4 linked regions of the Arabidopsis thaliana genome follow. The protein of the gene in region 3 interacts with the protein of the main gene of each other region in a pairwise test. Each region holds a gene or a part of one and is shown on either strand. Other genes may lie near its edges. The genes, in order: NIA1, AT5G19960, AT5G56220 and AT2G19650.

Region 1 (6,064 bases), on a different chromosome or scaffold from region 3:
GACCCGTCCCTTTGTTTGGTTGCCCCGTTCGTGTATTTGCTTGGCCGTTGGTGTTCCCATGCGCCACTTAGCCTCCAAAGTCTTCTCTCTAAACTCCTTTTTTATACCATAATCTCTGTTTAGTTTATACTTAATTGCGCTTTATCTTCTTAATCGTCATGTAATCCATAAAAATCTTCGAGATATTTACTTTCTCGACTTAATTAATTAATACAATTTCTCTATATTAAACTAGTCAACAATATGCTCAATATCATATCATACATATATGTTTTAGCCCACAGGATTCTCACTCTCCATTTTCTTATTATTACACTGACGTCTAATTTGACGTTGATTTTAAGAAATTGAAGTCAATATAGACAAAATCTATCTGTGAATATGCTGATTAATACCCTTTTATGTAATATGTATGTACACGTGATGTACTTTTAATCTTGAGTCATACATCTATGATATTTTGCATTCATTAACATACAATTTCCCAAAACTATGAGCAAGTTTACGTGTTACTTTTGTCTTTAATCATCATTCAATATTATCGAAAAGTTCGTTGCCATATCATATATTTGTGGAATAAAACTAGGTAATATTGTTCTTGTTTTACATTAACTAATGCATTTTTTTTTGGGGGGCACACATTAACTTATGCATATTCCAAATAAATAAACTATTTTGTCGCCGTGACACATTGATAAAAAAAACATTCTAGTGCTTCGATTGAAAATTCAAGTTTCTCCAAAATTTACTCTCCGCTGCATCCGCACTTTACAATTGTAAAAGAGAATACCCAGTATTTTGCATAGACAAATCTATTTTTTTTTTTTTTGATGGGTATTTTTTATATCTATGTCGTAAGTACGTTACGTTAGCTAGCTAGAACATTCCCTAGCAAGAACTAGTAGTGAGTGAGGAAGAGAAAAAAGAACTCAGCATTGCTTATACAAGAGTCCATGTTTGTGGATCCAAGGGAAGGTTTATCTCAGCTTTTTTTCCTCAAGAGAAAGGTGTATCTTGCCCGTGGTTACTCGATTGTTGTTCGTATTCAATTTATTAAATTTTATAGCTTCAAGGGAAGGCATGTGTTTCTTCTTTTTTAAGTGCAATATTTTTGTTTATTACATAAAGTACTTCCTGGAAGTTTCGTATAGACTCCAATAGGGTTTCTCTGACTTTTCCAATTTCAGTGTCGGAGTACATTAACTCTAAAGAAATAAACATGCATGAACATGCTTTTTCATATTCTACATATATTTTGCAGTCTATAATTGGTTTTTCCACTGTGGTTTACGCTAAAATAAATAATATGTTCTTGTTAAATGGCCACAAACAATTCCGACACCATAAATGTGAAACTTTTAACAAAACTATATTATCAATAACTAGCTAAATTATGATCAAGACCAGTAAACATTTCAACACTTAACGTAAAGAAATGAATTGGCTATTGACGATATAATTTTTTTCCATAGAAAACTATGCATATGTTTGTCACAATTTTTTTCTTTCTTTGTATTAAAGTTAAGTGTTGAGTGAGAGAGGTATCATAATCATAGTACCCTCCCACGATATTGCCCACGGATCGAATCCTTAGACCCGCATTTTATTTTTAACTTCATATCGCATTAGTATTTAAAAGCAAATATATATATCCTATGAAATAAAAATCTCCCGCCTTAAAGGCCAAACCTTAGGATCTAGGTAGGTGGGTCCCTCTACTCAGCGACCACACAAACTCACATTTGTCAATTTCTCCTCTCTCTTAATTTATTAATTATTTTATTTACTCATCTCTGTAACGCCCCCTATAAATACAACCTCTCATTTACTCATTCAGAAACCAAAAAATTTCACAAACCAAACCAAAACCAAAAAAATAGCTTATCTCTCTCTTATCACCGGTTCAATCACTAAACCATGGCGACCTCCGTCGATAACCGCCATTATCCCACCATGAACGGCGTCGCTCACGCCTTCAAACCTCCTCTCGTTCCTTCTCCTCGCTCATTCGACCGCCACCGTCACCAAAACCAAACTCTCGACGTCATCCTCACCGAAACTAAAATCGTCAAAGAAACCGAAGTCATCACCACCGTCGTAGACAGTTACGACGACTCCTCAAGCGACGACGAAGACGAGAGCCATAACCGTAACGTCCCTTACTACAAAGAGCTGGTTAAAAAATCAAACAGCGATTTAGAACCGTCGATTTTAGATCCGAGAGATGAATCAACGGCTGATAGTTGGATTCAACGTAACTCATCCATGCTCCGTCTCACCGGAAAACATCCATTCAACGCCGAAGCACCTCTTCCTCGTCTTATGCACCATGGATTCATCACTCCAGTTCCACTCCATTACGTCCGCAACCACGGTGCAGTTCCCAAAGCGAATTGGTCAGACTGGTCAATCGAAATTACCGGACTCGTTAAACGTCCGGCTAAATTCACCATGGAAGAGCTAATCTCCGAGTTCCCCAGCCGCGAATTCCCGGTGACACTCGTCTGCGCCGGTAATCGCCGCAAGGAACAGAACATGGTGAAACAAACGATCGGATTCAATTGGGGATCCGCCGGAGTATCTACTTCTCTATGGAAAGGTATTCCGTTAAGCGAAATCCTCCGTCGATGCGGGATCTATAGCCGGAGAGGAGGCGCGTTAAACGTTTGCTTCGAAGGAGCGGAGGATCTTCCCGGCGGCGGCGGATCTAAATACGGAACAAGTATTAAGAAGGAGATGGCGATGGATCCGGCTAGAGATATTATCTTAGCTTATATGCAAAACGGCGAGCTTTTAACGCCGGATCATGGGTTTCCGGTTCGGGTCATTGTACCGGGTTTCATCGGTGGTCGGATGGTTAAATGGTTAAAGAGAATCATCGTCACGCCTCAAGAATCTGACAGTTACTATCACTATAAAGACAATCGAGTCCTTCCTTCTCTCGTTGATGCTGAGCTGGCAAATTCCGAAGGTAAACTATTAACTTACCCTTGTCTTCTTTTACATTTTAGTTACCGATGCTAATATTATTTACTTGTTTTTGTTACAGCTTGGTGGTATAAGCCTGAATACATAATCAACGAGCTTAATATAAACTCGGTGATTACAACACCTGGTCACGCAGAGATTTTACCGATTAATGCATTCACTACTCAGAAGCCGTACACATTAAAAGGCTACGCTTATTCTGGTAATTTATTTTAACTTTGCTTTAGTTAAAAGTTAAAAGGATTCTTTACTATGTAATTAAAATCCTGATCGGTGTATTGATGAAATAAACAGGAGGAGGTAAGAAGGTAACGAGGGTTGAGGTGACTCTAGACGGAGGAGACACGTGGAGTGTTTGTGAGCTTGACCACCAGGAGAAACCGAACAAGTACGGTAAATTCTGGTGCTGGTGTTTCTGGTCACTTGACGTTGAGGTTCTTGATCTGCTCAGTGCTAAAGACGTCGCGGTTCGAGCCTGGGACGAGTCTTTCAATACTCAGCCTGATAAACTCATCTGGAACCTCATGGTAATAATCCTCTCTCTTGATATTTTTAAATTATAGAATTAATTAGTTTACTTTATTCTTTACTATATGATTTAAATAGTTTAATCTTGTTTTTGAGTAAACTATTCGATTTTGATATTTGTATTCGTCCTACAAAGTTGGAACTACTGATGATATTTTCTTTTGAACGTGATACCTACCAATACTAATCTTACGGAATCTTTTAATAGAGCACTAATCAACATGGAACTAAAGACCAATTCTTTAAGTGTCTCTGTTGTACAGTTCATTTTAGTAGTGCGTTTAAGTATTATAATCTCCCTTCATGCGGGGCAATTATGTAGATTAAAATCGAAATTATATAAAATTTACATAAGTCTAAGTCTAGGGTCTCCAGCTAATTGTTATTTTTTTAACGATGTTGACTAAAGCAATAACGACGTTGACTTGTGTTAAACAGGGGATGATGAACAATTGCTGGTTCAGGATTAGGACCAACGTGTGCAAGCCTCATAGAGGAGAGATAGGGATAGTTTTCGAACACCCGACCAGACCCGGAAACCAGTCGGGTGGGTGGATGGCAAAGGAGCGTCAGCTTGAGATTTCCTCAGAATCCAACAATACCTTGAAGAAATCTGTCTCATCTCCTTTCATGAACACTGCCTCGAAGATGTATTCAATCTCTGAAGTTAGAAAACACAACACTGCTGACTCTGCATGGATCATCGTCCACGGTCACATCTATGACTGTACACGTTTCTTGAAAGATCATCCAGGAGGCACAGATTCTATCCTGATAAACGCAGGTACAGATTGCACCGAAGAGTTTGAAGCCATTCACTCTGACAAAGCCAAGAAGCTTTTGGAAGATTACCGTATCGGTGAACTCATCACCACTGGCTACGACTCTTCCCCTAACGTCTCAGTTCATGGTGCCTCAAACTTTGGTCCTTTGTTAGCTCCAATCAAAGAGCTAACTCCTCAAAAGAACATTGCTTTGGTCAACCCACGTGAGAAAATCCCGGTTAGGCTCATTGAGAAGACTTCGATCTCGCACGACGTTCGTAAGTTCCGATTCGCATTACCATCAGAAGATCAACAGCTTGGTTTACCCGTGGGGAAGCACGTTTTCGTTTGCGCCAACATAAACGACAAACTCTGTCTCAGAGCTTATACTCCCACCAGCGCCATCGACGCGGTTGGTCATATCGACCTCGTCGTCAAAGTTTACTTCAAAGACGTTCATCCAAGGTTTCCCAATGGTGGACTCATGTCTCAACACTTAGACTCGTTACCAATCGGGTCAATGATAGATATCAAAGGTCCACTAGGGCACATCGAGTACAAAGGCAAAGGCAACTTCCTGGTCAGCGGCAAACCTAAGTTTGCCAAGAAACTAGCAATGCTCGCCGGAGGAACAGGCATCACTCCTATCTACCAGATCATTCAATCTATATTGAGTGATCCAGAGGACGAAACCGAGATGTATGTGGTTTACGCAAACAGAACCGAGGATGACATTCTTGTGAGGGAAGAGCTAGAAGGATGGGCTAGTAAGCATAAGGAGAGGCTAAAGATTTGGTACGTCGTTGAAATCGCAAAGGAAGGTTGGAGTTACAGTACCGGGTTTATAACTGAAGCTGTGCTTAGGGAACATATCCCTGAAGGTTTGGAAGGCGAATCGCTAGCACTCGCATGCGGACCACCGCCTATGATTCAGTTTGCGTTGCAGCCAAATCTAGAGAAGATGGGTTACAACGTGAAGGAGGATCTCTTAATCTTCTAGATTTGCTCAAGTTCTGTGCTATTGGAAATTCGAAAGTTGATAACAAGTATCGCTTATGTGTGTATATACATGGTTATTTGGGCACTTTTGTTATAGTTGTTGTTTATCAGAGCTCCAAATTGTATATTGTATAAAATTGTGTTTAATTATGATCTATGTTGTTGATGATGATGATGATAAATGATGAACTTATTGTAACTCAAACTTCTTGTGTCTTGATATTATCGTTTTTTTTTTGTTATTGCATGTCAGGACTCATGTCACAACATCTTCTATTTGAGTTATTATGCTTCCATAATGTGTCGTGTCATCTATTACTGGTCGTCTAATAAGTTAGTTATAGTTCACATCAAGTGTTATTCATTTAATCACGCCTGGTAAACGTTTTGTCGTATAAGACTAATAGTTTTAAGTTAGTTACCACTTGTGGTCGTGTTGCTTTCAATCGTCAGTGACAACAAAAAAAGACAAACATGCATGAAAATAAACGTTTAATGCAAAGATACGCATATCATTATGTCAAAGGGAGACGAATGATGCTACAGTATGCGTTCGATACAAAAAATGGAAAAAGATCTAAAATGGATTTTCGTTTCGGCCCCACAAGATTCGTGGTTCATACGCATTTTACAAGTAATAATATTATGGAGAATGGTGATATGTAAAAAACATTGGATCTTTTTTTTTGTCACACAAGACTTTCATAGTGAGTAACGAAAGTTAAAAATGAAGGTATCCATGATTCCATATTTAATTATTAATTATAAAGAGAATTCAAGATCCA
Region 2 (4,730 bases), about 16 Mb from region 3:
ACGTGGAATTCCACTAGAGCCATGCGACAAGAAGAACACATTTGCTTATGCTATTTACTGCTACTGGTTTGCTATAAGATGTACGAAACATGCCTTGAAGAATATATATGAATAATGGATAATGCCTTAATATTACTATAATGAAATTTATATGAGAAGACAAACATATAGAGTATCCTAAATGGGGTTGTTCTTAAGATCGTCACGTATAATGATGATTTGAGTGTTGGTTGGCTAACTTGGCTTTACAAGCAACGATAGGTCAATGGATGATGTTCACATCTTAATCAAATAAAAAACATTCGGCTGACGAGTAATGGACGGTGGAGATGATGGTTGTGTCAACCTTAATAATTTAACTGTCTATTCTTTTCTCTCTTTTTATAACATTTTCACTGTAGCCAAGTATCTTTATATTAGTAAAGAACAAAGCAAACATTACAAAAAGAAATAGTTAATTTGTCAACTTCATCTACTAAAATATTTTAACTATAGCCAAGTACTATCTAGGACTTCTTCTCTAACAAAGCTTTGAGACTTTACTTCCACACTTTGTATGGTGATTGTTTGGTTTCAGTTGCAAGTTGAAAACATAATTATTTAGTTCATGTTCGTATGATAATAATACATCCCGAATGAAATGAATACATACTTGCCAAAACAAGTAAATATGTACCAAATTAGTGTAGCTCGACTAGAAAAAAACTCGGAAAGTCACAAAGAGAAGACATATCAAAGCTACACTTTAGACAAAACAGATCATACATGCGGGTGACCGTGTTACGGATACCCGTGTCCCAATCCTTCATCAGCACCTGCCACGCCTTCTCTAGCTGCTGAATTAACAAGCAACTGCGAGAAAAGAATAGACACTTGTTTCGATTAGGCCTAATCTTTATGCAATGACAATCACTAGAATAAGAAAATTTAGAAACTAACCTGGAGTTCTTGTTCACAGTCTTTCAGGTTGTCCGTGCACTCTCTAACCCTTGAATATGATTTATGTAGCTACCACAAACATAGACCAAATGTCAACAAACATTACCTAACAAAACCGACTTTTAGAACAGGAATCGAACCTATGCTTACCTTTGCCAATTCTTTTCGGCGTTGTGAAACCAGTTTCTTTTCATTGATCAACAAATCTTCTAATCTCTGTCTTAACCATTTCAAATGAGAACAAATCTGTAGTCAAACATTTTGGGGTTGTAAGATATAGAAGACACATACCTTAGATTTCTTCTGTAGCTCTGAGCACACTACTTCTTTTACTTCCAGTCTCTCTTCCATCACCATCACCTTAAAAATGAAAGTAGCCCATAAATTCATTGGATCACTCGTGATTATGTAAAATAAATCTACCAACAGCCTATATGCACAGATAAACTACCTCATACCTCATCTCGAAGCGCCTCACGCATCTTAATCAGCGCTTCCAGATCTTCTTTCACCTGTAATAGAAGTTGCAAGTTATAAAATGAATTTATGCAAACACTGCATGGCTAAGAAAATCATCTTTACCTGATGATCTCCACTTGAATTAGAGAAGTGATCTCTGCCACGTCCACCATCAAGAATGGTACTGTCAATCCAACAAGAACACACAAAGATTTAGACATGTTAACAAAACCAAAGCAAGCCAAAACATTCCTCAAACGGTAACATGCACAAAGCCAACAAGAGCAAGAAACTTCCTCAAATCCATTACACTAAAATCGATGATAATTTATCAAACTTAACCACAACAGGTGTGGATGATTTGGTTTAGCGGCGTGACTAAGACTAGCATCCCAGTCTTTGACTCATTCAAACTAGCAGACCAATTTTACAAGAACAACGAATGTCACAATTCAAAGAAACAGGAGGAACACTAAAAGTTTGAAATCCAATGTGAAGTCTACAACTGCATTGTTTTCAACAAAAGTTTACCTATCTTCTCTCTTTGTTTCTTGGCTCCTTCCTTCGTGAGCACTGGTCCCATTTATTCCCCTACCATTATCCACATAAGACCTATCCCCACGCCAATCTCCTTCATCACCATCGAAAACTCTTTCCTTATAACCATTTCTATCTACCATATCATGATCATTCCTCCTCTCAAAATCATGTGAATGCTCATAAGCTCTTTCCTTCTCTATGTAGCGATGATCTTTTCTCCTATCCTGAGACCTATCCCGTTCTCGAGACCTATCACTATACCGATCCCTCTCATAATTACCATCACTTCTCCTATCAGGACTTCTATCCCAACCACCGTGTGGTTGTAACCGCCCCGGACCTGGATTCATTCTTCCACCTCTTGTTGTCACATCATTCACACGCACTGCACGCCCACCAATACTCTGATTACGAGCTCAATACCGTCAACAATATAAACACACCACGTACATGATAATATAAACAAAAGAACAAAACTTTAGCAGTAGAACCATACTTTTCCATCCATATCTTCGATAGCATCATCAGCCGATCGACGGTTCGAAAATGTAACAAAGCCATAGCATTTCCCTCTTACACTCCGGTCATTGACAATCTGAATTCTCAAATAGTACACATATATGTCAATATACACTCTGACCAGCTCACATGTAAGATATATCAACTAGCAATTGGATGTTATCTAAATCACTTGGTCAGTCTTTCTACATAGATATCTACTAAAGCTTATCATCTATAAGATCATACAATAAGATTGGAACTTCAAAATCACGAAACGAATTTGAATCATCCTAATTAAGAAACTTAAATCAGGATATTGAAAAGAGAAAATTAACCTTAACGGTGAGGACGGAGCCGTAAATGGAGAAGACGCGACGGACAGCCTCCTCGGTGATGTCGTAAGGGAGGCCGCCGACGTAGACGGAGTTACCATCGTCCATCGTCATAACTCTTTATCGACTTTGGTCGGAATTCAACAAGGAAAGCAAAGTACTTTAGAAGTCGTACTGTCAGAAATCTTCGTGTTACATATGGGCCATTAGGCCCACTAAAACGAAACCGGAAAATACCTTTTTTATAGGACTTTTTCGAATTACTTTTCTAGTTTTTCTGTTAAAAATGTTCTTCTTTATTGATCAAAACGATTTTATGCAAAAAGTATCATTAGTGAATAGTAATTAGTTTAACTCGATATTGACCATAACAAAATCAATTCTCCAAATTAAAATCTCGTCTTCCCCAATTGGTTTAGCGCGACAAGAGCATCAACGCAATGGTGGGAACATCAAGCTCCTCCGCCGGCGACCACACCCACACCGTCGTGATAAATGCCCTAACTAGTCGGGGCTGGTGCTTCAGAGACGTCGAATACTTGAAATCCCTGGTCACTGAAATCTCTTCCTTGATCGGCGGCGGCAATAAAACAGGCGCCATCGTGGAGTCAGTGGAGGCGGAGCTGCTTAACATGGATATTAAGTTAATCGGAGGTAAATCCCTCCCGGACCCGACCGAGTTACGCAGGTGTTCTCATCTTCAAGGCCCCAAAGTTCTCCAGGTACATTGCTTCAATCAGCTAAAGTCAGTAACAATTGGCATTAGGTCTTCGCTAATTCAATGAGTCACTCTCACTGATATACTTAGATTTAAACTAGTTTCAGAATGCTCAATTGTTGCAGTTGATTCAAGCTGTTGAGTGTTAATTTGTTTTCTTTTGTGAGCATAGATAAGTTATGTTAGGGATGTTACAAGAAGTAGCGCAGAGGAATTTGTGGGAAGTTCCACTGGTAAACGAGTGCTAAAATTCGCTCTGACTGACGGGAAGACCGAAATATCCGCGCTTGAGTACTCTCATATACCAACGATTAACAATGATGTCACTCCTGGTACTAAGGTAGTTCCATTTCCATATCAATCTAATTCAAATTCTCCTTTACTATGTTTCTGAAAGTCTCATGCAAATATAATAGTTTGGATTAAGATCTAAATCAATAGAAAGCTAGTGCACATATGTGTTTGTCATGCATCAGAGGGTGTCATATGCAAATCATAAATCATTTTGTATTGTTGATATTTTGTACTGTCTCGTTGGCAGGTACGTCTAGAAAATAAGGCTGTGATACGTGATGGTCTAGTATGTTTGACTCCAAAAGAGGTGACTGTCTTGGGCGGTTATGTGCAATCACTCACTGAAGAATGGCAGATGAAGAAAAAATACGCTAGTTTGGCTCGATCTCAGGAAAGCAAAGCTGGTGATGGCCCTCCTCCATTTGAGGAGTTGAAGATTCGAACAGGTTCCCATCACCGCGGTAAGCAGGATTTTCTTATTCTCATCATTTTCATTCAGTTTTCTTCTAGTAATTTGTTGCATATTTAGTTCACTTTGAAACGGTTGGCCAATCTTTGCTACCAAATAAAATATCTACCATTTTCTATTTCATGTTGATAGTGTACATAAATATGCATTGACTGCAGCAAGGACTTATTCCATCCAAATGCACTTTAGCATAAACATATTAGTAATTTGACCCGAGCTCCAAAATCCCAATATATCCGTTTATGTAACCTATGACGACTCATGTAGAGGTCTGATCTATGTTTTCCCTTGGCTTTGTGTCCAACATTGGCGCTGTTGGGTCTCCATTGTTTCAATACTTAAACTTGAGTGAATGCATTTTCATTGTGGTAAAATTTATGATCTATTGAATTGTTCTTCCTTTGTGTGGGCTTACATAAAGTATTGTGATGGAAGTTTGGCCAATGCATCAAAAATTTAACTTGTCAGCATATGTTTG
Region 3 (6,351 bases):
ACCAAATCCTTTTGATATAAGAGGAGAAGTCTCAACCGGTGAATTCAACTCTTTATCAAGATCACCAATCAAACCATTATTATCTTCAACAGATTCAAGAACAGAGCTTTCACTCTCCAAATCCATGACGACGCCACAAAAATACTAACTTTTCACATGGGATCAATCTCAAGACTAAACAACCACCATTCCAGTAAGAACCAGAGGCAAATTCAATAAAACCAAAATACGAAAACAAAAATGAAGCAATAGGGTTCTCTAAATTCAACTCAATTCCCAGATTAATCACATTTACGAAAGCCAATGAATCGAAAGTTTCGAGCTTGACGTACCTAATAAAATGGAACGCAAAACCACTCAAAGGTGAATCCTTTACGAAGAGACCGAAACGAAATTAGAAGACGATTTAAACGATTCGCAGAGATCTCTCTCTATATCCGTTGATTGTGGAAAGTTTCGTTGCGAAAAATCGTTTTTTTTTTCCCGGTTACGATCAAAAAACATTTTGATTCGTTTCCTTTTTTTTGTAATAGAGAAATACGAACGTGTGAGCGACATGGTCGGGACACGTGGCGAAACCGCTGGATACTTCAGCAACTACTCGGATATTTTATGACCGTTCGATTCGACGTGATCTTATCTGGTCGGATCTGGAATTCAACGGTGTGTGATATACCGTTAGGACTTTAATATGATCTCGACTATTTTACTAATTTACCCTCGTCTTTCTAACTTCTTCAGTTTTGACGTTTACATCTTTTCTATATACAGTGGTTGCCGTTTTTAGGTATGGAAACAACGAGACTTATCCTTGAGCGTTTGATAAACGCTTCCACATCGTTTGATAACGAGACTTTTCTACATACAGTATCAATCTTGTTTTGTTCATACGTCACACACTCCAAGATTTTGATGGTAAATTTTTTGTTTTTGTGTGTGTGTGTGTGTAATGTGTATGTTTTTAAAGTCCCTTATGATTGTAGATAAATGTGAAAATGTGTGGGGTAAATAAATAAAAAGTCACAAGTGGACTGGTCTTGGACCAATTCCCACTGTGAAATCAGATTTCAAATGTTGTGTCAGTGTACACATACATACATGCACCACCTTGAATTAAAAAAAAAAGATAATTACTCGATTATGAGGAGTTTATCTTACAAATTACAATATACTAAAATGTTATTGATAAGAAAAATTGTCAAATACTACTAGGTTACTACTTATGTTATGTTAGTACTATTGTTAGAAATTTAGTTCATAATCACATAGTGGAAGGAATTTCACTTACTTAGAACCCAAAATATGTTTTACGTAAAATATTCTCTTGACATTTTTCTCCTATTAATTGCAGCAATGATAGTATTATATGATTCAATACTCAATATAGTACAATGTTTGGAGTTTTCTATAGACCACAAAATACAAACAGTAAATGACAAACAACCAAAGTACTAAGAAAATTGAAAATGGTTCCCTTTCTTCAATCCTACAACCTCTTTTAAGCTCAAAGTTCAATGTCTTAAATCTGACTCTTGTCTATTTAACTCTCTTAAATCCAATGTAACCCATGTTATATTTATACTTCTCTAATAACTCGATCTTAAATAAAAACTGGAGTCTTCTTGGTAAACTAAAGAAGAAAAAAAAACTCATTAAAAATTTCCAGAAAATGCAGAGGAGGTTGAGAGAAGAGAGAGAGGAGAGCTAAAAACAAATGACATAAAGGAGAATCCAAGATTATAAATTTAAGTTAATTATAAAATGGTTTTTGATTAAGTGGGTGATCATTATAAAATGACATTGGTACATGTTTAGACATTAACCATCTCCAGGCTGCTTCTCTCTTAACCATTTCTTTAATCACTATTTTAAAAACAAATTAATGTCCATAAGCACTTTCAGATCCAACTCACAACTCCAGATTCTTCTCCCTCTTCATTATCACAATCTTCTGCTCTTCCTCAAAAAGAAACACAGAGAGAAAGATAGACGAGAGAGACAGGCTTGGTAATGAAAAGATATGCAGGGGAAGTGACACGTCTTTTTTTGCCTTGTGTCTGAAAAAGATCAAACAAAAGGGTAAGTCTTTAAGAAATCATCTTTAAAGATTTGACTAATATGTTGCTTTTTCATTGTTGGTCCTAGCTAGAGAGTAAAAAGATTCAATCTTGTTAATGATGATGAACATTAGACCACAAACTCAATGTAAAGCAATGATTTTTCTTCTGACCCGTGACCTCTCCATTGTTGCAGAGACTCTCTGAAACTGGCTTGGTGTTGTTGGTCAAATCTGAAGTAAGAGGAGGAGGAGAAATTAAATAAAGAAAAGAAGAAAACACAAATTGGGTTTCAACAGTGTTGTAGAAGAGGGACCCCACAAAATGGAAGAGTTAGATACATCACATGCAGTTTCTCAGATTTTACCTCAATCTCATTGAACTGCATCAACTGTTGCATTCATGTTCTGACTCATCTCCTCTCAGTCCCACTCACTTCAATATCATCTGTCAGAGAAACACCATTATGAGATTCATTACCAAGTTAGAGAGATAAAGACATAACCTTTTGAAGCTGAGAGGTGAGAGCTTTCATTTGAGTTTAATTTGTGTTTGGTGAAAGAAGTAAAAGGAGTAATGAAGGGAATAGAAGAAGAAGCAAGTTTAGTTGGTTTAACCATAAGAACTTCATCACCAGCAAGCTCTTCAAGTAAGAAAGGTAAAGAAGATCTTCTTCAAGCAAATAATAATGCTTCAGATTCATCTCCAAGTATCAAAAACTCTCCTTTCTATTCACCTTCTCTTGTGTCCCCACCATCTTCTGCTTTTGTTTCCGCTTTGCAATCTCCTTATATATCCCCAAGAGCTACAACACCCTCCATTACCACTCACAAGCCATCACCGCCTCTTTCTTACAAAGGCTCACAATCTGATGATGTACCAAGCAGCTCCTACACTCCTCCTTCTGACCAGTACGAGTTTTCTGATGAACAACCATCAGATCGGAAGCTCAAGTTATCAGCATCTTGTACTCCAGATCCTGCTCCTCCAAGGATCTCTTTCTCTTTCCCTGTTCCTAGGGTTTCTTTGGCTAAAGTCTCTGTTTCTTCACCTGCAACTAACACCAAGCTCAGGAGCTCTGATGTCTTCATAGGGTTTCATGGACAAAACCCAAACTTGGTGAGATTCTGCAAATGGTTAAAGTCAGAGCTTGAGCTTCAGGGAATCGCTTGTTTCGTTGCTGACAGAGCTAAGTATTCGGACACACAGAGTCATGAGATCGCCGACAGAGTTATCTGTTCTGTTACTTATGGGATTGTGGTTGTCTCTTGTTCCAGCTTGCTCAACTACCTTAGCTTGGAGGAAGTTAGGTTCTTTGCTCAAAAGAAGAACTTGATTCCTATTTTCTATGGAACTGGTCCTTCTGAGATTATGGGTCTTCTCAACTGCAATGCCATAGATAAAGAGTGTAAAGAAGCCATTGATGGGTTGATTAAGTCTCATGAGTTTAAACTAGAAGCTAATGAGAGTAACTGGAGAAGCTGTGTGGGAAAGACTGCGACGATTCTCAGGGCAAAGCTTGGGAGGAAGAGTGTGGCTGATAAAGAGATTGTGGAAGGGATTGATGAGCTTCCATTTCCGAGGAACAGATCTTTTCTTGGAAGAGAAAAGGAGATCATTGAAATGGAGATGGCTTTATTTGGTAATGGAGAGTATCTTGAGTCTACAACACCAAGTACCAGAGGAGAAGCAAGTGGACAATCTGAAGGACTTGCAGATGAGGAATCAGATGTTGTACCAACTCGAAATGGGAAGTTTATTAGCTTGGAGCTTGGAAGATGCTCAGATTCAAGAAGTGAGGCTTGGAGTGATCCAAATGGTGGGAAAAACTCTCTTAAAAGATTGTTGAAGACTAAGAAGTGTAGAAACAATAGTAACTGCAAAAGTAGCACAAGTGTTGTTTGTGTAAATGGAGTTCCAGGGATTGGGAAGACAGAGTTAGCTCTTGAATTCGCTTACAGGTATTCTCAGAGGTATAAGATGGTTTTGTGGGTCGGAGGGGAAGCTCGATACTTTAGACAGAACCTGTTAAATCTGTCATTCAGCTTGGGGCTTGATGTTAGTGCAGATGCTGAGAAGGATAGAGGTAGACTAAGGAGCTTTGATGAACAAGAGTTTGAAGCTTTCAAGAGAATAAAGCGTGAGTTATTCAGAGACATGCCTTATCTGTTGATCATTGATAATCTTGAGATAGAGAAGGATTGGTGGGAAGGGAAAGATCTAAATGATTTGATTCCGAGGAACACCGGAGGAACACATGTTTTGATCACTACTAGACTTCCTAAAGTCATGACCTTTGACACTGTGCAGCTTTCTATATTGCCTTCGTCTGATGCAATGGTGTTACTGAGAGGAAGAAGAAAGAAAGATTACCCGGTGGAGGAGGTGGAGGTCCTCAAGCTTTTCGATGAGAAATTGGGAAGGTTGAGCTATGGTCTTTGGGTGGTTGGATCATTGCTTTCAGAGCTTGCAATTCTGCCTTCTGCTCTCTTTGAAGCTGTAAACAAAGTTCAAATCGAAGAACGTTCGGCCTCGCCTTTTCTGAACTTAAATGATGAGCAATACTGCAAGTCCAATCCATTTGTTGCAAAGGTTTTAGCTTTCAGTTTGGCTGTTTTGGAGCAAGCTGAGGGAAACAGAAACCTTCTCTCATTGAAAATGCTACTCGTGGGAGCTTGGTTTGCTCCTGTCCCTATACCGGTTAACTTATTAGCTGCAGCTGCTAAGAACATGCCCACAGGTGGAAACCGGTTCAGCAAATGGAACAAGTGTCTGAGTCACACATTTGCTTGGTGTGGTGGTTGTGGTTTAGGACGCAGAAGCGAAGAGGATGCTGCTTTTTTACTAGTCAGATTAGGACTAGCGAGGTTAACAAATAGACAACCTGGATGTTGGATTCAGTTCCATCCGATAACTCAAACTTTCGCGAGGAGACGAGACTACATCCTTGCACCAAAGGCAACAGTTCAAGGCGTGAGGAAAATCGATAACCCGTTGTTGAATCTTGATCACCTATGGGCTTCAGCTTTCTTAGTATTCGGATTCAAATCAGAACCTCCTTTGGTTCAACTACAAGCCATGGATATGGTACTTTACATCAAGAGAACAGCTCTTCCTTTAGCAATCACAGCTTTCACAACCTTCTCAAGGTGCAACTCCGCGCTGGAGCTCCTAAAAGTATGCACCAACGTGTTAGAGGAAGTGGAGAAATCATTTGTGTCTCAGATACAAGATTGGCGCCAAGGCTCGCTCTGTTGGAAGAAGAAGACTAACAAGAAAGTCGATGAATACGTGTGGCAGGATGTTACATTGTTGAAAGCTTTATTGCTGGAGACCAGAGCAAAGCTGCTGCTACGAGGCGGACATTTCGATAGTGGAGAGGAACTTTGCAGGACTTGTATCAGTATCAGGACAGTGATGCTTGGCCATAACCATGATCTCACTTTGGCTGCTCAAGAAACACTAGCAAAGTTAGTCAGAATGAGAAGCAAGATATGATGAAACCACACACAAAAACATTTCTCCTGGTTATTATTTCCACATTACTACTCTAAGCTCAGTTTTGTTGAAGACATCAAATCATGTAATGGCTATTTTTAACCTTTTTTAGAACAAATCTTATTCCTATGTACATTACCAACATCCTTATTGATCATTGTCTCTTTGTAAACGCATTGAATTCTCAAGCCAAAAAGCTCTAACCGATAAGTTAACCAATCAAACAAAAGAGATAACACAATCTCAGTAACAAACAGAATTGAAAAAGGACAAATACTCGTGTAAGAAGCTGGGACCAAAGACAAACACAGAAAAATAGGTATGGGCTTAAGTAAACATGCAATTTAATCAGTGTCTGGGTTTTGCCAACAAGTGTCACTCTCCCCTCTTCTGTTACTGGTCCCCGGAGTTCACTGCTCAGTTTTGTTTCCTTTTCAAAGGACTAAAAATTCTGACTTGTCATACAAATTGAGCTTAGGTTTTATCTGGTTTTGGTTAAACACAAAGTTAGTCAGAATCCAACAAAGCAAAAGCAGATTATTAAGGTATTGAATTGACAATCAAGAGAATATATGATCTCTTGAAGCTTTCAGATTTAGTATCTAATAACTAACAGTCAAACACTAAAAGCTGTGACTTTAAGATCAACAAGTTGGTCTCAAGCTTCACGACAAAACTGTCAAAGCTGTTGTGAGATATGTTTGCTTGAAGCAAGACTTGATACATTGTATCTGAAATCAGATGTAACATGTGAAGAAGAATGGATAGAGCAAGTTGATTCCTTCACTGTGAGACC
Region 4 (4,505 bases), on a different chromosome or scaffold from region 3:
CACCAAAAATGTGCTAACCTGCCTCGGAAGAAACGGCATGTTTGCGACAACCTACCATTTACCCTAGTCACAAATGATACTTCAGACGAAACTTCATGTGATCTTTGTTGGCAAAGTTTCACCGGTTTCAGGTACGAGTGTCTTACTCGTATGGTTACTCTAGATGTACGATGTGGTTCAATTCGAGAACCATTGGTGCACCAAAGCCATCAACATCCCTTATACTTTTCGAAACGTAGTTCTAAGTCTTGTACGGAATGTGGCAAAAACATGGATCTAGATATAGGAAGCTTTAGCTGTGATGAGTGTGACTATAGTTTGGACTTCAAGTGTGCTCTTTTACCGCAGAAAGTAAAGTGGCATAGATACGACGATCATCCTCTTTACTTGTCGTGTGGTGAAAGTAGTGTGGATGGAGAATACTGGTGTGAAGCATGTGAAACAAAAGTGAATTCGAAGAAATGGTTCTATACATGCAATGATTGTGGTGTCATATTGCATATTTCATGCGTTGTGGGAGACTTCTCATATTATATGCCAGGTTCCAAAATAGGATGGGAGGAAGACTTGGTGGTATCCAACACCTCTATGTGTAGACCATTTTGCTATGTGTGTAACTCTCAATGCAAGCTTCCTTCCATTGTTAAGGTCGTTTCCAAAGCCGATGTTGTTTTATACATTTGTTCTTTAAACTGTTATTATAATTTCAACCGCTCTAATAACTACTCTAGTAGTGATTGGTAAGGCATGTTTTAATGAAGAAAAACTTTGTACCATTTAATTCCAAAAGTATGTTTTACAATAGTTTTTTTTTAACCTCAAGCTTATGCGCTTTTTCCACAATTATCAATCTTTTGAATCCAGTCAGCAGCAGTCTCAATGATCTTAGAAACAGAATTTCTTAACAGGATATTTAAAAGAACAAGTTTCTTGACATTAGAGCTGGAACTGGAATCTGGTCTCTGTTTTGTGCTAAAGCAAGAGCAGCTCATGTATACGCAGTATGTCTTTTTAACTTCTTTATTAATCAAAATTTGCTCTGAGTGATTTGAATACATGTGATTTGACAAATGATTCTTCGAATGTTTCAGATGGTATATATATGTTAACTTTATAGTGTTATTCAAATGGGTTATACAATCTGATGGTGGAAATAGAACTTACTTTTGGCTGTATAAAAATTAAAAAACAAAGATTGGCCCAATCCTGGTCTTAAAGACAAAAATACAAATCTTTTGGTCTGAAATTACATAAAAGTTAGTGGATGCAATACAATAATAAAACTTTGGTTTCAGAGACTTGAATGCAGCAAAGTCTACCTCCAAAGCTACTTGGCCAAGGAGTTGTGTGGTTCAGACTTCAAACTGTTTTTTCCACAAAATGTACAGTTCCATCCATTTAAATTCTAAACTATTCTATCCATAAACTTCTATTCCATTTAATGCAAGAAAAAACCTTTTTTGTATTCATTCAATTATTTATGTTTTGGCCGGACACAATAGTTGCAGAGTCAACATATGTGGTCTGAGTTAATTAAATAATGCAAGGATGAAGCCAACACATGTGGTCTCAATCTCAGTAATGAAAAGAATCATTTCTGTGGTGCGAATTCATATTAACTATTTGCAAAGTCTGAAAATGATAAACCACTTGAAAAAAAATCCTGAAAGAAAAGAAAGAGAGAAAAACAAGAAACCAAGTCTGAAACTAGTGCAGAAGAGAAGAGCTTTGTGTTTTGGTGGAAGTAAGAAAACATCACCATGGAAAACTTTCTAGCTTTGTTTAATGAAGGCATGGACGAAGAAGCATCCCGCCTTGAAAAATTGTTACCATTTCATGAGCATCCGTTGATACCTTTTACACGCTTCGAGTTCACCAAGTGTAAAGGATGCTACTCGACCGATGAAGATAATACAAGCTTCATTTCCAAACATCCCGGTTGCAGTTACATTTACGGAGGACACCGATGCAATGAGCCGGGATGTGATGTTGTGTTCCATGAAGAGTGCGCCAAGCCGTTACCAGAAATCGACCACCCTTACCATCCAGTCCATCCTCTCAAGCTGATCCTCCTACATACCAGAGTTTCTAATTGTAGTTTCTGTGGAGAATTTTTCAGTGTCGGTTATCGCTGTAACAAATGTGATTTCCAGTTGGATTTGATTTGCGCGAGGAGACCAGCCCTACTTGTTCTTGCTGAAAACTCCTACCTACACGAGCATCCACTCCAACTCTCCCATGAAGCGCACGAAACACTCAGAGATTGCAAAGGGTGTGGCCATCAACATAATAGCTGGAAACATTTCTACACATGTCATCAATGCGAGTTTTTCATCAGTCTGGATTGTATCGATCATAATAGTCCAGAAGCATACCACACTTCTCACCCCCAACACCCACTCAAGTCACTTAGATATGAAGTCCCTGGTTACGCCGACAAGAAATGTCTTCTTTGCCGCGAGGAGTTTGATGGAATCCATCGCCAGCTTCACCACTGTGGTGTTTGTAATTTTAGCATATGCAGATCATGTATGAAAAACCCACCACCGGTTCTTGTTAAAAGCCCGAGGACCCATGAACATCAACTTCACCTTGTTCCAAGACGCATTGACTTCACTTGCAATGCTTGTGGGACGCTAGGTGACCGTAGCCCTTATTTCTGTCTTCAGTGCAATTTCATGATTCATCGGGAATGTATCGATCTACCTCGCGTCATAAACATCAACCGCCACGACCACCGCATCTCTTACACCCCTCGCCTCGGACATGGAGACGGGAAATGCAGAGTTTGTCGTAAAAATGTGGATGGGTTCTACGGGGCTTATTCTTGCTCCAAATGTTTTGATTATTTTGTTCATTCAAGATGCGCAACCAGAAGGGATGTATGGGACATGATCGAACTGGAAGGGACACCCGAAGAAGAGGAAACTGCGCCATTCAAGGTGATTGATGACAACACGATAGACCATTACGGCCATAAGCATAACTTACGAATTTACCGTGGCTGGAATCTACCAGAAAGTGTAGTTTGTACCGCATGTGTCTTCCAGATTTGTTCAGAACCGTTCTACGCTTGCGCGAGAAAGAGATGCGATTTCATAATCCACGAAAAATGTGCCAAGCTTCCTTTAAAGAAACGTCATGTGTGCCACAACCAGCCACTCGAACTATCCCCAAATTATGGCACCTACTTGTTACATAGGTGTAGTATTTGCCGTCAACTGTTCACCGGTTTCTCCTATGAATCTAAGGAATTAAGGATAGATGTACGGTGCGCTACAGTTACAGAACCATTTGAGCACAAAAGCCATCAACATCCTTTACACTACTCTACAGATCACTCCAAACGTTGTAGTGAGTGTGATGGAGACGGGAAATTGAGTTGCGATGATTGTGAATTTGGTTTGTGCTTCAAGTGTGCTATTTTACCGCAAAAGGTAATGAGGCATAGGTACGACGATCATCCTCTCTTCTTATCTTATGGCGAAATGGGCGTGGCTGGCAAATATTGGTGTGAAGCATGCGAAACAACTGTGAACCCAGAAAAATGGTTCTATACATGCAATGAGTGTGGGATCACATTGCATATTTCCTGCGTTATAGATACTTACGCATATTCCATGCCAGGAGCGTTAACATGGATAGGAACATTTGTATCCAACCACTCTATTTGTAGACCACTTTGCTGCGTGTGCAACTCTCGATGCAAGCTCCCTTTCGTTCGTACGCTTCCCGAGGACGGAGCTGATCTATACTTTTGTTCTTTAGAATGTGAGAAGAAAATTTATCAGGAACGTTTCGAATTTTAAAATTATGTTCTTTACTATGTTTAGAAAACTATTTATTTATAGATGATAATGTTTGCTAGCTTGAATGACTCGCAAATTTGGTAGAATTTGTGAGGAATCTGGGTCTGTTAAATTATTACAAGTCCCTACAATAACATTTGGTTGTGTACTTGTGTTAGTGTAATATATATATATCTCATTGAACCCTAGGGTGCATTAGTGTTTGCCAAATAAAAACCAGAAAAAATATCAACTTATTTATGGATGTAAGATTGGAAAAGGTTGGATCAATCTTGCCAGTCAATCCACTAAATGTTTAAGTTCCTACAAGTCGAAATGTCAATGACAAAAACAGAGACGTGGAAGTGAGAACAGAGCAGAGCAAAACAGAACATAGCAGAGTAAGTCAGTCAGAGCAGGTTGTGTTGTAGAATCACATTAGTTCTCTGATAGAGAAGCCAAAAAACTCAGTTTGTGTTGTTGAACTTGGAACAGAATGAGAACAAGTTAATCACTAAAAAATGTTTGTGTCACCGTCATGTTGCGACCTTAAAACAGAGCCCCCTAATAATTTTTTGTTACACTGGTTCTATTGAATCTATTTTATGGAAAAACTATTACACAATTTGGTTTACCAATACATTGATCCCTATCAAGGAAGCTATGGTTTCAGGCACTGAGCACACTGAAGAGTAATAGAGATTAACAATGCAAACA

What was found.
Region 1: the proteins of AT5G56220 (region 3) and NIA1 interact in a two-hybrid assay, tested with the Arabidopsis thaliana proteins (one large-scale study listed by BioGRID).
Region 2: the proteins of AT5G56220 (region 3) and AT5G19960 interact in a two-hybrid assay, tested with the Arabidopsis thaliana proteins (one large-scale study listed by BioGRID).
Region 4: the proteins of AT5G56220 (region 3) and AT2G19650 interact in a two-hybrid assay, tested with the Arabidopsis thaliana proteins (one large-scale study listed by BioGRID).

The regions. Positions count from the first base shown.
Region 1 is NC_003070.9:29,235,221-29,241,284, reverse strand, and holds NIA1 (nitrate reductase 1), read left to right. Parts: upstream 1-1,800; 5' UTR 1,801-1,917; coding exon 1,918-2,971; intron 2,972-3,049; coding exon 3,050-3,190; intron 3,191-3,282; coding exon 3,283-3,515; intron 3,516-3,954; coding exon 3,955-5,280; 3' UTR 5,281-5,564; downstream 5,565-6,064. UniProt on the Arabidopsis thaliana protein: Nitrate reductase is a key enzyme involved in the first step of nitrate assimilation in plants, fungi and bacteria.
Region 2 is NC_003076.8:6,742,184-6,746,913, reverse strand, and holds AT5G19960 (RNA-binding (RRM/RBD/RNP motifs) family protein), read right to left. Parts: upstream 3,037-4,730; 5' UTR 2,886-3,036; coding exon 2,775-2,885; intron 2,534-2,774; coding exon 2,435-2,533; intron 2,398-2,434; exon of another isoform or gene 2,343-2,397; coding exon 1,930-2,342; intron 1,583-1,929; coding exon 1,522-1,582; intron 1,452-1,521; coding exon 1,398-1,451; intron 1,300-1,397; coding exon 1,231-1,299; intron 1,156-1,230; coding exon 1,090-1,155; intron 1,009-1,089; coding exon 940-1,008; intron 853-939; coding exon 781-852; 3' UTR 533-780; downstream 1-532. Other genes in the region: AT5G19950 (tudor domain protein (DUF1767)), read left to right, coding at 3,212-3,493, 3,662-3,829, 4,031-4,244.
Region 3 is NC_003076.8:22,752,238-22,758,588, forward strand, and holds AT5G56220 (P-loop containing nucleoside triphosphate hydrolases superfamily protein), read left to right. Parts: upstream 1-1,735; 5' UTR 1,736-2,079; exon of another isoform or gene 2,080-2,253; 5' UTR 2,254-2,633; coding exon 2,634-5,555; 3' UTR 5,556-5,820; downstream 5,821-6,351. Other genes in the region: WIP2 (WPP domain interacting protein 2), read right to left, coding at 1-126.
Region 4 is NC_003071.7:8,492,959-8,497,463, reverse strand, and holds AT2G19650 (Cysteine/Histidine-rich C1 domain family protein), read left to right. Parts: upstream 1-1,571; 5' UTR 1,572-1,760; coding exon 1,761-3,809; 3' UTR 3,810-3,995; downstream 3,996-4,505. Other genes in the region: AT2G19660 (Cysteine/Histidine-rich C1 domain family protein), read left to right, coding at 1-744.